Linked DNA regions of Oryzias latipes. The protein of the gene in region 2 interacts with the protein of the main gene of each other region in a biochemical or structural test. Links are inferred from orthologs where the notes say so. Each region holds a gene or a part of one and is shown on either strand. Other genes may lie near its edges.

The links.
Region 1: the proteins of lnx1 (region 2) and rasl11b form a complex in vitro, tested with the Homo sapiens proteins (2 studies listed by BioGRID and IntAct, with this or other methods). The link is inferred for Oryzias latipes from reciprocal best matches to the Homo sapiens genes LNX1 and RASL11B.
Region 3: of the proteins of lnx1 (region 2) and numb, one has a biochemical effect on the other in vitro, tested with the Homo sapiens proteins (2 studies listed by BioGRID, with this or other methods). The link is inferred for Oryzias latipes from reciprocal best matches to the Homo sapiens genes LNX1 and NUMB.

The regions. Positions count from the first base shown.
Region 1 is NC_019862.2:917,960-921,944, forward strand, and holds rasl11b (ras-like protein family member 11B), read right to left. Parts: upstream 2,464-3,985; 5' UTR 2,346-2,463; coding exon 2,231-2,345; intron 2,156-2,230; coding exon 2,099-2,155; intron 2,023-2,098; coding exon 1,946-2,022; intron 1,617-1,945; coding exon 1,119-1,616; 3' UTR 602-1,118; downstream 1-601.
Region 2 is NC_019862.2:756,723-759,679, reverse strand, and holds the end of lnx1 (E3 ubiquitin-protein ligase LNX), read right to left. Parts: intron 1,908-2,957; coding exon 1,749-1,907; intron 1,668-1,748; coding exon 1,532-1,667; 3' UTR 670-1,531; downstream 1-669. Other genes in the region: fip1l1 (pre-mRNA 3'-end-processing factor FIP1), read left to right, coding at 128-253, 333-414.
Region 3 is NC_019880.2:1,035,135-1,039,753, reverse strand, and holds the start of numb (protein numb homolog), read right to left. Parts: upstream 2,902-4,619; 5' UTR 2,719-2,901; intron 2,334-2,718; exon of another isoform or gene 2,211-2,333; intron 1-2,210. UniProt on the Homo sapiens protein: Regulates clathrin-mediated receptor endocytosis. Plays a role in the process of neurogenesis.

The DNA.
Region 1 (3,985 bases), about 160 kb from region 2:
ACTTGTTGCTGTATGCTGCTTCATGGTCTTCTTATCCCCCTTCCCCTCCTATTATCACCCCCTACCCCCCCTCTCTCTAGCGACCCTCTCTTTTCTTCCCCTCTTTCCTTTTCCGTCCGGTCCAACACCAAAGATTTTCAGACATGATTGAAATTAATAAAGTTTGGCCTCAATTACAAAAGGGGTTTATTCAGACATACCTTTGGTTTGTCAGAAGATTAATAACCCCTCTTGTTAAAGCAAAATATGTCCAACACAAGAGGCCCTCAGCTCTCGTCTGTCTGCCCAGCTGTTGGACAGGACAAGTTAAAAAAAAATTAAAAAAGTTGATATTTTAAAAAAAATGAATGTAAATAAATTTTGGGGCAATAATGGTTCAGACACAGTGCATTGTGGTCTATGTTTGACAATTTTGTGAGCATATAATATTGATGCACACTAGTTTTTCGCAAAGACTTCTGGGAAATGGTAGTGGAATTTGGAATTGTTGATTCGGACAGCACCAGAAAATGGTGAACGCTCTATATAGTGATTAGGGAAGGAATTCTGACGCAACCTTAGTCTTTTCATCAGCCTCATGCATCTGAGCAACAAACAATAATTTGTTTTGAAACATTTATTATGCACAAAATTGTAACCAAATAAATAAGACTAGGCCCTCTGGACATTTACATTTGTATAAAGTGCAATAGTGGTCGTGACCAACATATGCTACATCTCTTCTCCCATGGTGGAGCTGCAAAATACAAACACCATATTTACACATGAGATGCTGACATCACAGCTCTGGGTGAAGATGCTGGTACGACTCCAGGCAGTCTGAAGAGCTGCCACAGACACCCCCATGCCAACACACTGCATCCCCATGCCAGGAGAGCCTCAGGGACAGTTTGTAACGAAGCTCAGTCAGACCTGGGTTCCACACCTTCAGCTGCTCCTCTCCTCCTCAGCTGATGTTGAACCTCCCCCCAGGATGTCTTCCATCTGACACGGTGGGCTCCTCCCCGACAAGCCGCGTCTCCTTCCTGCTGACTGTTCATGCCTCGTCTGCCCTCTCCGCTTCAGTGGAGAAGCATGAATCTTAACTCTGACCGGTCCAGATCACCTCTCAGCTCCCTTCACACCGAGGTGACAGTCCTGACTTTAGCCGACAGCGCCTGCTTGAAGCGCCTCTTCAGGTCCTGCATATTGGGGGATTTGGGCCGGGGGATGAGTGGTGAGCGTCTCTTCTCTGGGGCAGCGCTGGCGCCAGTGTGTGGCGAGCTGGATGGGGCGGGGGGCTGCTTGGCCAGCTGGCAGCAGAGCCTGTGGAACGCTCCGTGCACTTGGTTGTAGTCCTCGCTGGCGGACACTTCATAGAAGGAGCATCCCAGGGCTCCAGCCAGGAGGGGGCCCTGCTGGGAGTCCACTCTCCTCAGGTGCAACAGGTCAGCTTTGTTGGCCAGCAGGATCACAGGGGGCACAATGGCGCCTCCTGCCCGGACAACCAGCTGGTGCAGCTGACTGATCAGATCAAAACTGCGGCGGTCTGTCACAGAGTAAACCAGCACCACAGCATCCGCCCACTGGATGGAGCAGGTCACATGGTCAGGCAGCTTGACGCCGTTATTAGTCATCTAAGGAGCAAAGAAAGAATTATGTCAATGGTTTTACACAAGGAGGGTCCATTCAGAGCAGGCTTTCTACACCTGAACTTTAGTACGGTCTGGAATGCTGTGTGGGGCAGACAAATGGGATTACTGAACCAGCTATCCTCCTATGCTGTCCCAGACAGCCATTACCCCAAATGAGAGCTTATTAAAGATGGGTGGAATGAAGGCAATCCTTCAGGGAAAATGACATCTTCAATTACAGGAGGTTGGAAGGTTCCATTTAAAGAGGATGAGGGGGCATCCAGTCAGCCAGCCTAACCCACAAATGTTTTCTTCTGAGAAGCAGCACCCACCTCTCCCCCAGGCGTGTCCTGAACCTGAATGGTGACTTGTTCTCCGTCCACCTGAACTTCTCTGGAGTACAGATTACCTGCGTGCGCAAAAGGAAAACCTCAGAAATTACAAGCCAAATTTCACCATGAAGCTTCTTTTCTTCCGAAACTCACCAGCATTTCTCTCGTAGTCTCCAATGAAGCGCCTGGTCAGGAACCTCACCACCAGCGCTGCAGAAACACCGCAGTGGTTATTCATGGCTGCGCCTGAAGCCCACCTTTGGACAGACCGGTTTGCATTCTTACCCGTCTTCCCCACTCCGCTTCCCCCTACGACAGCGATCTTAATGACCCGGCTGAGCGGCTGGTTCTCCGGAGCGCAGAACTCCGTGATGGTCGTCATGTTCTGGATCAGCCTCATGGTTCTCCTCCTGAGAGAACAAAAGATCCGGCAAAGTTCTGCTACAAACAGTCTCCACGCAGTCTCCACTGGCACAGACTGAGCTCCAGACGCCGCGCGCGCGCAGCTTTTAAGGCGCTCGCGCGCTACTCACAGCTGATTGGATGGTGGGATCCCCGTCGCCTCCCCCCTCCCCCGCCCACACGTGGACGCAGCAGTTATGCTGTGAAGTAAATGAAGCGACATATGGGAGGAGAACCTGCCCGGAGGTTCTGTCTGTCTGTCTGCCTGCCTGCCTGTCTGCCTGCCTGCCTGCCTGCCCGTCGGTCTTTCTGCCTGTCTGTCTGCCTGCCTGCCTGTCGGTCTTTCTGCCTGCCTGCCTGCCTGCCTGCCTGTCTGCCTGCCTGCCTGCCTGTCTGTCGGTCTGTCTGTCTGCCTGCCTGCCTGTCTGCCTGCCTGCCTGCCTGTCTGTCTGCCTGCCTGCCCGTCGGTCTTTCTGCCTGTCTGTCTGCCTGCCTGCCTGTCGGTCTTTCTGCCTGCCTGCCTGCCTGCCTGCCTGTCTGCCTGCCTGCCTGCCTGCCTGTCTGCCTGCCTGCCTGCCTGTCTGTCGGTCTGTCTGTCTGCCTGCCTGCCTGTCTGCCTGCCTGCCTGCCTGTCTGTCTGCCTGCCTGCCCGTCGGTCTTTCTGCCTGTCTGTCTGCCTGCCTGCCTGTCGGTCTTTCTGCCTGCCTGCCTGCCTGCCTGTCGGTCTTTCTGCCTGCCTGCCTGCCTGCCTGCCTGTCTGCCTGCCTGCCTGCCTGCCTGTCTGCCTGCCTGCCTGCCTGTCTGTCTGCCTGCCTGCCCGTCGGTCTTTCTGCCTGTCTGTCTGCCTGCCTGCCTGTCGGTCTTTCTGCCTGCCTGCCTGCCCGTCGGTCTTTCTGCCTGCCTGTCTGTCTGCCTGCCTGCCTGCCTGTCTGTCTGTCTGCCTGCCTGCCCGTCGGTCTTTCTGCCTGTCTGCCTGCCTGCCTGCCTGTCTGCCTGCCTGCCTGCCTGCCTGTCTGCCTGCCTGCCTGCCTGTCTGTCGGTCTGTCTGTCTGTCTGCCTTGCTTTGTTTTGAGTCCAGGTGTTTTCACCTCATCCTTTGTGGGGATCTGCTCAGACATGTCTGGTGAGGATGCATACTCCTGCATCCTGCACCTCCTCCTCCCACAGAAACCCTCACCTCATTAAGAAATGATGCACAAACCCCTCTGAAGTGTAGAATATTCCAACACTTCTCCTGGTTTGATTAGAAATTGTAACTATAATACGAAACTAACCAGACTGTCACAAATGGTAGAATAGAATTTAATGTCTTCAGTGTTATTATTTTAAAAAACCAAAAGTGAATGAATATGTGTGCACCTGTAAGATGTTTTCTTTTATTTGGTTACCCTGGTTGACTGTTTTTTCCCCGATTGTTTTTGTCATTAATAAATAATTTTCCTTGTAAAGTTTTAGAATATTTATCCTGAGAACACAGTGTTCAAACAGATATCATGATAAATATCCCTTTCATTTTCTTAAAGACTCAATCTGATGATAATTGTGTTTTTGGTGTTTCTACTTGTTCTTGTATCATTTTTTCTCTTGAAGGTGGACATCTATAGATAATATTAAGCTCAAAGTTGCATGTCTGAGTAT
Region 2 (2,957 bases):
AGTCCTCACTGCTTGACACTGGAGAGCTGCAGGTTTGTTTTTGTGAATTGAAACTTTTCACTTGTTGCATTAGAAAATTGACCATATACGTACATACATTAGTCCACAAGAAAAATGTCCTCTACAGAGTGAAGGAGCAAACAAAGGCCAGGAGCTCCAAGGATGAGAGCCACAGATGCTGCAGCTTCAAAGACATCATGGGAGAAAACAGAAGGAAAGACAGAAGCTGGAAGCCTGACAGAGTTTCACACAGGTCCATCTAAACACACACTCTAAAAGACACACAGTAGAACTATTAATCAATTGGTCTTTTTTTCTATTTATCTCATCAGCAGCACTCAGGGAAGCTGCAGCAGGAAATTTGAAGATAGGACCATGGTAAAAGATGCAAAAAGAAGAAAAAACAAGACGTAAAAAAACAGCTCCACAACAGACTGTGCTGACCAGGAAGAACAATGAAATGTTCCTGATTTAACAGGAAAGAATGACTTTGATGTCATTTTACAATGCAAACAATTATTTGATCTTTTGAACATTTTTGAAGACTAAAGTTGATTTTAGAGGAAAACCTCATGAGTTTTGCAGAAAGATTTTGTTGCTTTGCTTCATGTCTTTTGTACTTGTGTTGTACTTGTGAAGATACAAGTGAAAAGTTTAAACCACACAACAGGTTTTGGAACAGCTTTATTAGTCTTTTATGGTCATGTACCATCAGATAAACTACACAGGCCGAAGCGTGACAAACAGAACCACAGGAGATAGACCATCCAGTGATGCACAGGAACAGTTATAGCTTTTTCTTTCTTAAAAGTAAGAAACTTTGTAAGGCCTCCACAATGTCACCTAATTAAATGTCACTTCAACATGTTAAGAACACATTGATCCTTTTATGTTGTCATAGACCTGCTTTGCCAATTGTTTTCTTTATTAAGAATAGCTTCTGAGAAAACAGAAAAACCTCACAGACTAGTACTTGGCAACGAGTCTTTAGTTTAACAGATGAGAACCACTGTCAGTACAAACAGAATAAAGCCTACGTTTGAAGGCCATACAATAAACCAAAAAAAACATATTACAAGTGATTGGACTGTTACTGTTTTCAACAACCAGCATTTTTACAGTACATAAAGAAATGTGAGTCCAACTTAACACATATCCTAATATATCTATTGGAGTTGGCAACAAGTTGTCTCCTCTTCTCCTCCCAGCCCACTCACTGGATGTTATTCCAGACAATGACAATGTTCTGTAAGTAAATAACATCTCGCAACATCCCATTCAGAAAAGTGGCAGGCTTGGATCCTCCCATTTCAGCATTCCTGGAGGGGCAACTTAAACTTTTGCTCACAGTTCAGTTTTGTTTTGATCACCCTCCCAGATTCTGGTCAAATCCCTGAAGAGAAATCAGTGTCTGCCTTCCTCTGTCCTTTTTCTCTCTCCAAGAAGTCTAAGGACAGTCTGCCGATGCAAGCTCTGCCTCCACATCCCTTGGTCATTATCACAGAAGCAGTGCAGGGAGGCTGGGGTGCCGTTACAGCAGGCTGCCCGGCCAGGAGACAATGGTCAGAGTGATCCTGCCCCGAAGCTCCTTCAGGAGGCGAACCAAGGCTGTGTGGGTCAGGCCCCAGGTGCTCTTCCCATTCACCTCCAGTAGGATGTCCCCGCATCTGCAGAAAAACAAGGCAGAGTGAAACCCTAAACGTTTCACTCATGCCAAAAACATTTTTGGATGGGGGTCACCTCAATACCTTATTCGCCCGTCGTTGTAAGCAGGTGTTCCTTCAACAATGGAACGGATAAAAAAGGATTGATTGCAGTTCATTTCTTCCTGACCCCCCACAATGCTGAAGCCCAGGCTACCCGACGTGTTCCTCCGCAGAACGATGTCTTTGCAGTAGTACAGATGTCTGCATGGGAGAAGGGGGAGAGCATAAATAAATGTTTGACACTTAACACTTGTTTCTTTTTGTTTTTTAAGTTTTTTTGGTATCTAGATTTTTCTTTGTCAGGTCCTGAAAATAAGGTCAATAAAATGTTGACGTACCAAACATTTAATTTCACAAGTAATTCATTACCCCCAGACTGAGCAAAAATGAAAAACAAATCTGAACAATGGATGGCAAATGTATGTATTTATTATACTTTTAGCAAATCCCCCCCTCCACAGTTTTTAAAACACCTTCCCTTGGGGTTCTGGCATGGGAATATTCTTAAAGGAACAAAAGGACATCTCTTTTGCATCTGCTTAAGTTAAACTTTGGACTTTACCTGAACCAATGAAATGTCTTACATTCTGTTGTGGGCTTGCCGCTGAGCAAAGCCTCACTTTCATTGAAGCTTTAGCCAAGGACATTTAGCCTCTGACTCTTTCAAGCTCCCTTCGGCTGCAATAATCTTTTGGCTCCTCTTTGACTGATAATGTGAGGCATTTTGGTTCTCAGTTTTGTTTAAGGACTTTGCTCCTTTGGGAGTTTTATCAAATATCAAACTTTTTTTTAAACTACCCAAACAGGGAGGCAAAAAAGTATTTGTCAGTCACAAATTTTGAAGCATAAAAAGCTGATTCTTGTCTGTAATGTTCATCCTAGAAACACTTCATTTGGCAGAGAAAGAATGTAAAAAAAAATCCAGGAAATCACATTGTTTTGATTTTCAAAGATTATATTTTAGTCCATCAGATCTTCTCAGGAACTGTTGCTTGAAATCTAAGACCTTTAACTCCCTCCACTTATTCTTTATTGGATTGAGGTCCAGACTGTCCCAGAACCTTGAGATGCTTTTTACGTATCCACTGTCTTGTTGCCTGGGCGATGGATTTGAAATTATTTCCATGTGCTGGTTTAAGCAGGGTTACCTTTCAAGAACTGCAGAATGCCATGATGGTGCCATGTGTTACTATAGTAACCTTTGGTCCCTGTTCTCTTCAGGTCACTGACCAGTTTGTCTGTGTAGTTCTG
Region 3 (4,619 bases), on a different chromosome or scaffold from region 2:
GGTCGCATTTCAAAAGATCGGATACGTATCAGATTCAGAACCACATACCCAAGTGGCCTGGGTCACATTTGAATAGATCGGATCTGTGTCGTTCAGACTGTCATGAAAAGATCAGATACAGGTCGCATAGGGGCAAAAAAATCAGAATTGGGTCGTTTCAGCCTGCGGTGTGAACGTAGCCAAAGAGGTTCATGGATGTATTTGTCTGCAGGTGGATGAATCAGAAGGGGGCGGAGCTGGGAGACTTTGGCCCCGCCTACCACAGCTGCTGCTGTGGTAGGCTGCAAACAGCAGATAAAAACCTGCTGTTTGAAAAAAAACAGCAGGTTTTTATCTGCTCCTGATCCATGACGATTTGAATAAAGAAATATTCAGAAATCCAATCTTGTAATCTTAACTTCTTCTATACATGTCCTCCATCACAAGAAAAATTGGACAAAAATGACCCCCCCATGCAAAGGTGATAAGGGGTTTTGGAACCCATGAACCGCAACTTGAAGCATGTGTAGAGAAAAGGTTGTGGAGAAGAGATCAAAGAGCTTCACCTCCACCTCTGGCGCTAACTCAGAGGATGCTGGAGAAACGGGGACAGTCCATCCCTCTGGCCCCACCATCCCTCATCCCATTTGTCTCTGTGCCTACATGAGAACATCATGTCTCCCACTAAACCGCACCCCACAGAGGAGGACTGGGCCTTCTGGGCTTCTCCTCCTGCTGCTGACATATTCACAGGGGGGGCGCTTCAGTGAGAAACTGCCAATGCCCCTCCCCTAATTCTTGGGGATGACCATGGGTTACTTTAACAACCTTGTGGAAAGAGAAGCCCCGCCCCCATTTTTCAGCCTATTAGAAACACTGGAGCTGAATTGATTCCGAATGTGAACCTGCCTCTTCAGAGGACCTCCTCACTGTGACCTTGTGTTTTTAAATAAAGCTTTGACATTTTGAAATGCAGCAGATTTCACTCTGATGAGATTCACTCAGGCCAGCGACTCGGCATTAATGCTTGTAAATGTTTAGTAATGATGTGCCTCCTGTTGTTGTAGGGTCATTTTATCAGACAAAGAAAACAACAACTCATTCAATTTCCTTCATGCTCATTATGAGCAGCAGGATGTGAGCTTAGAAAATGTGGATCATTTTGGTCTCTCAGTTATCATCATCATCTGCAATAAAATGTCTTCTGTTTTACAACACACAGCAGCACTTTCTGTCTGCATCTGTCATTTCTTCTAAAGACCAGTTCAAACCCAAACATACACCTAAAATAGGGCAGCTCCAAGCACCCGAAGAAACAAACCCTTTACAAACGAAGCCTTTTACATTTGGAAATCCAAATAACTACAGTACTTTTGAATTTCTAAGGAGATCCTGTCCTGCAAAAATCAATTTACCGTCCAAAGTATTCCATTAGAGGAAATTCGGATTTGTTACAATTCTATTTGATATTTTTCATCAATTTATTTAATCTAAAGTCAGACAACAAATAAAAAGTTTAAGAAAAAAGAGTTGAGTCATCCGAACCAAACGTCCCAGCTGAACTTTAAGACATCAGCTGGATGAATGAGATCCTTCATGGCATTTTACAAAATCCTATTTATGGAGAAACATATAAAACTGACATTTTCTTACTAATCAAGAAGCAATAAAAAAATAAGTAGGCAAATTTCTGAATTTTGCTAAACAAATAAGGGAACTTTATGGCTGTTCTAGCAGTTTAAAAGTGTGAAAATGAAGTGTATTAAAATTATTATTTCGTGAAAAGCAAGATTTAAACACCAGATGCTAAGTAAATTAATAAATGATCATATAATAAAAGCATGAACTTCGGCACGTGACAGACTGTGCCATAAATAAGCAGCATGATGCGGTCAAATATTAGAACTGTAAACTCTAGACTTTACCTTCTTCCCGGTAACGTTAACAATTCTCCTTAACTTTCCCCTTAAATCCCAAACAAAGCAGCAGTGTTTCCGCATACCCCCCCCCCCCCCCCGATCACTGTTTACCGTGACCCCCCCGTCACATAAACAAAGTTGTGACCTCGCGGGACGACGACAGACTCCCGCTTCCCAATGTCCGTCATGAGGCTCGCGCCGTCAATCACGCGCCTCTTTTCCTGTGGAAAGTAATCTGAGTACCGATGTGGATGCAGTGGGGGGGGGGGGGGTACTCCCGGCAGCCGGACGGTCTCACGGAGATACCATTACCTCATCTCGGGCCCCATTATCACACCTGGAAAAAAAAGCTGCGCGTTCGGACGATGAGTCACGGCTCGTTCTCGGAGAGCGCGAGCTCGGAGCTCGCGGAGGCTTCGACGTGAGCCGTGACACAGCCAACATCCGAACTTCTTCGCACTTCCACACCCGCGTGCGCACTTGTGACAGTGATATTACACGAGTGGGCCGTGTGTAACAACGTGTCGTGACAGTTCGCGTGCGCTCTGACCTCACCCGTTTACCTCTGAAAGTTAAACCAGGTACCTGGAAGTTAACCAGGTGATCAGAGGACGAGGAAAAACGTCGAAAGGGCTCCGTTTTCTTCGGTTCTTCCCGGTAACAGATTAGACCGGAGACGGTTTGAACACTCCTGCTCGCTCACCGCGTCATTAGAGAGATTACAGACCGAGCTAAGAGCCACAGAACCGGGCTAACACCACTGCATCAGCCGGGCTAGTGCTACTTTAGCCCCTTTTGCTAACCCTTCTTTCCCGCTCACCTGTGATCACCTCCGTGATCCAGACGTGGCCCCGTTAAAGCCCCGACTGTGACCGTCGAGCCGTCCCGTTCCGGATAATTCAAATTCCACAATAACCGTCACCGAGACCCTCCGGGCCAACCGCCGCCGCTGAATGGCTGCAGCGCGAGGATTCAACCAAACCTCGCCCTTGGCAACGGACCGCCTCCGCGCGCGCTCATAGGCCGGCGCGTGCGGGTCCACGGTGATCGATGGCCACTGGGCCAAATTCTGAGGGGTTGCCGACAAATAAGAAATTTAGCACAAAGACAAAAAAAAGATAAGGATGATTTTAGAGTAAATAAATTATTTTTAAAACATTTTAACTTTTAATTTAAAAAAGGAAGGAACAATTTTAATCTGTGCAATAAATTAATACTTTTTAGTAAGCTGTTTAGCAAAATCAAAATAAAAAATGTAAAAAGTACAAAAGAACGTTAAAACATTTAAATTCATTTATTTTATCTAATTAAATTAAAGAAAACATAAAAAGCTAAAGACGATTTAATGTTTTTCTCATTTTAATTAGCAAATTTTTTGTTTCTTTTGTATTTATTTTCTTCTATAAATTAATTACTTTTCTCGTTTGTCTCTGATTGATTATCATGTCTATTTTTTGTGAAAACAATGCAAAATATAACCATTAAAAATAAACATTTATGGGTTTTCAGGTTTAACAAAACACTATAAAGGCACCACTCTTGATTCTGCCAGTTTGATCAATGAACGGGAAAATGCACAATGTGTCATCCTGTTTCACCCTCTCTGACCAAATAAAGGTAATCATTTGCTTTGCATAAACTATGAAAGCACAGCTATTTGACACATGTTCCACTCTGCCGTTATTTCAGCGTCTGACTGATTCGATGATTTATTTCTTTGAGCAGAACTTCCCACAGTTCCTGCACAGCTCGTGTCTGAACCATCATCATGTTGATCATTTGACCATCTTCAGCCGCCCCACGCAGGCCTACGCCCCTCTACCCCCATAGCGACACACTGGCCTCTTTAGCTGGCCAGAAGTTTATCAGCATTCCTGACATAGCTCCAATGGGTACAAAGCTGCAGAGCAGCATATTTTCTCCTATCAGAAGGCAAACACACAGAGCTTCAGCCGGCAAAGCCGGTTATGATGATGGTTTCTCTTCTGTCTTGTGTCTCTGACTGCTGACCTCTAACACTGTCTCTACGCCTTTGAAAGCCAACCCTCTTAATCATCTCTTCTATCTTTTTATGCACATAACAGGCCTGGCAGGTCCTGGGGCTGCATTCCTGGTGAAATGTTGAAGTATTTTGCCCCCCTGTGGTCAACATGAGCAACATCAGCAACAAGCTCCTGAGCATTCGCAGGGAGAGGAGCTTCATTTTTCAAATATAAGTTTTGCTCAAATAAATACTGTCTGGCTTAAAATATGACCCCCCACAGGAAGTATTTGTGGCTGTTGTTGGATTAAAACCCATATTTTTGTTCAGTAATAAAGCTTTAATGTCCACATTTTCACTGAGAAAAGGGATCCTTTCCCTGAATGGAAGTAAAAATGCTGTTCACCTTTCAGCAGATCCCTTCAGGGTCGCCACAGAGAATCAGCTTTTACTGATTCATTATCAGTAATAGCAAACAGCAATTATAATGTTGTTGTTTACTGGGAAAAAAGCTGCCAGCAGCTTCGGCCGCGTGACCTCACCATGAGGTCACCTGAGCCGCAGCTCAGGATTCACCTTTAGTGAAGCAGCGTTTGAGTTTAACAGTTTCATATTTCGCTTCTTGCTCCAGAAACAACCCCAACAAAAATGTACAGTGAAAGAGTCTGGAGCTCAAGGCTGGTACCTCCCACCTCCTGCTCTGGAGTATTAACCCCCAGGATGCCCCCCCCCCCCCCCAA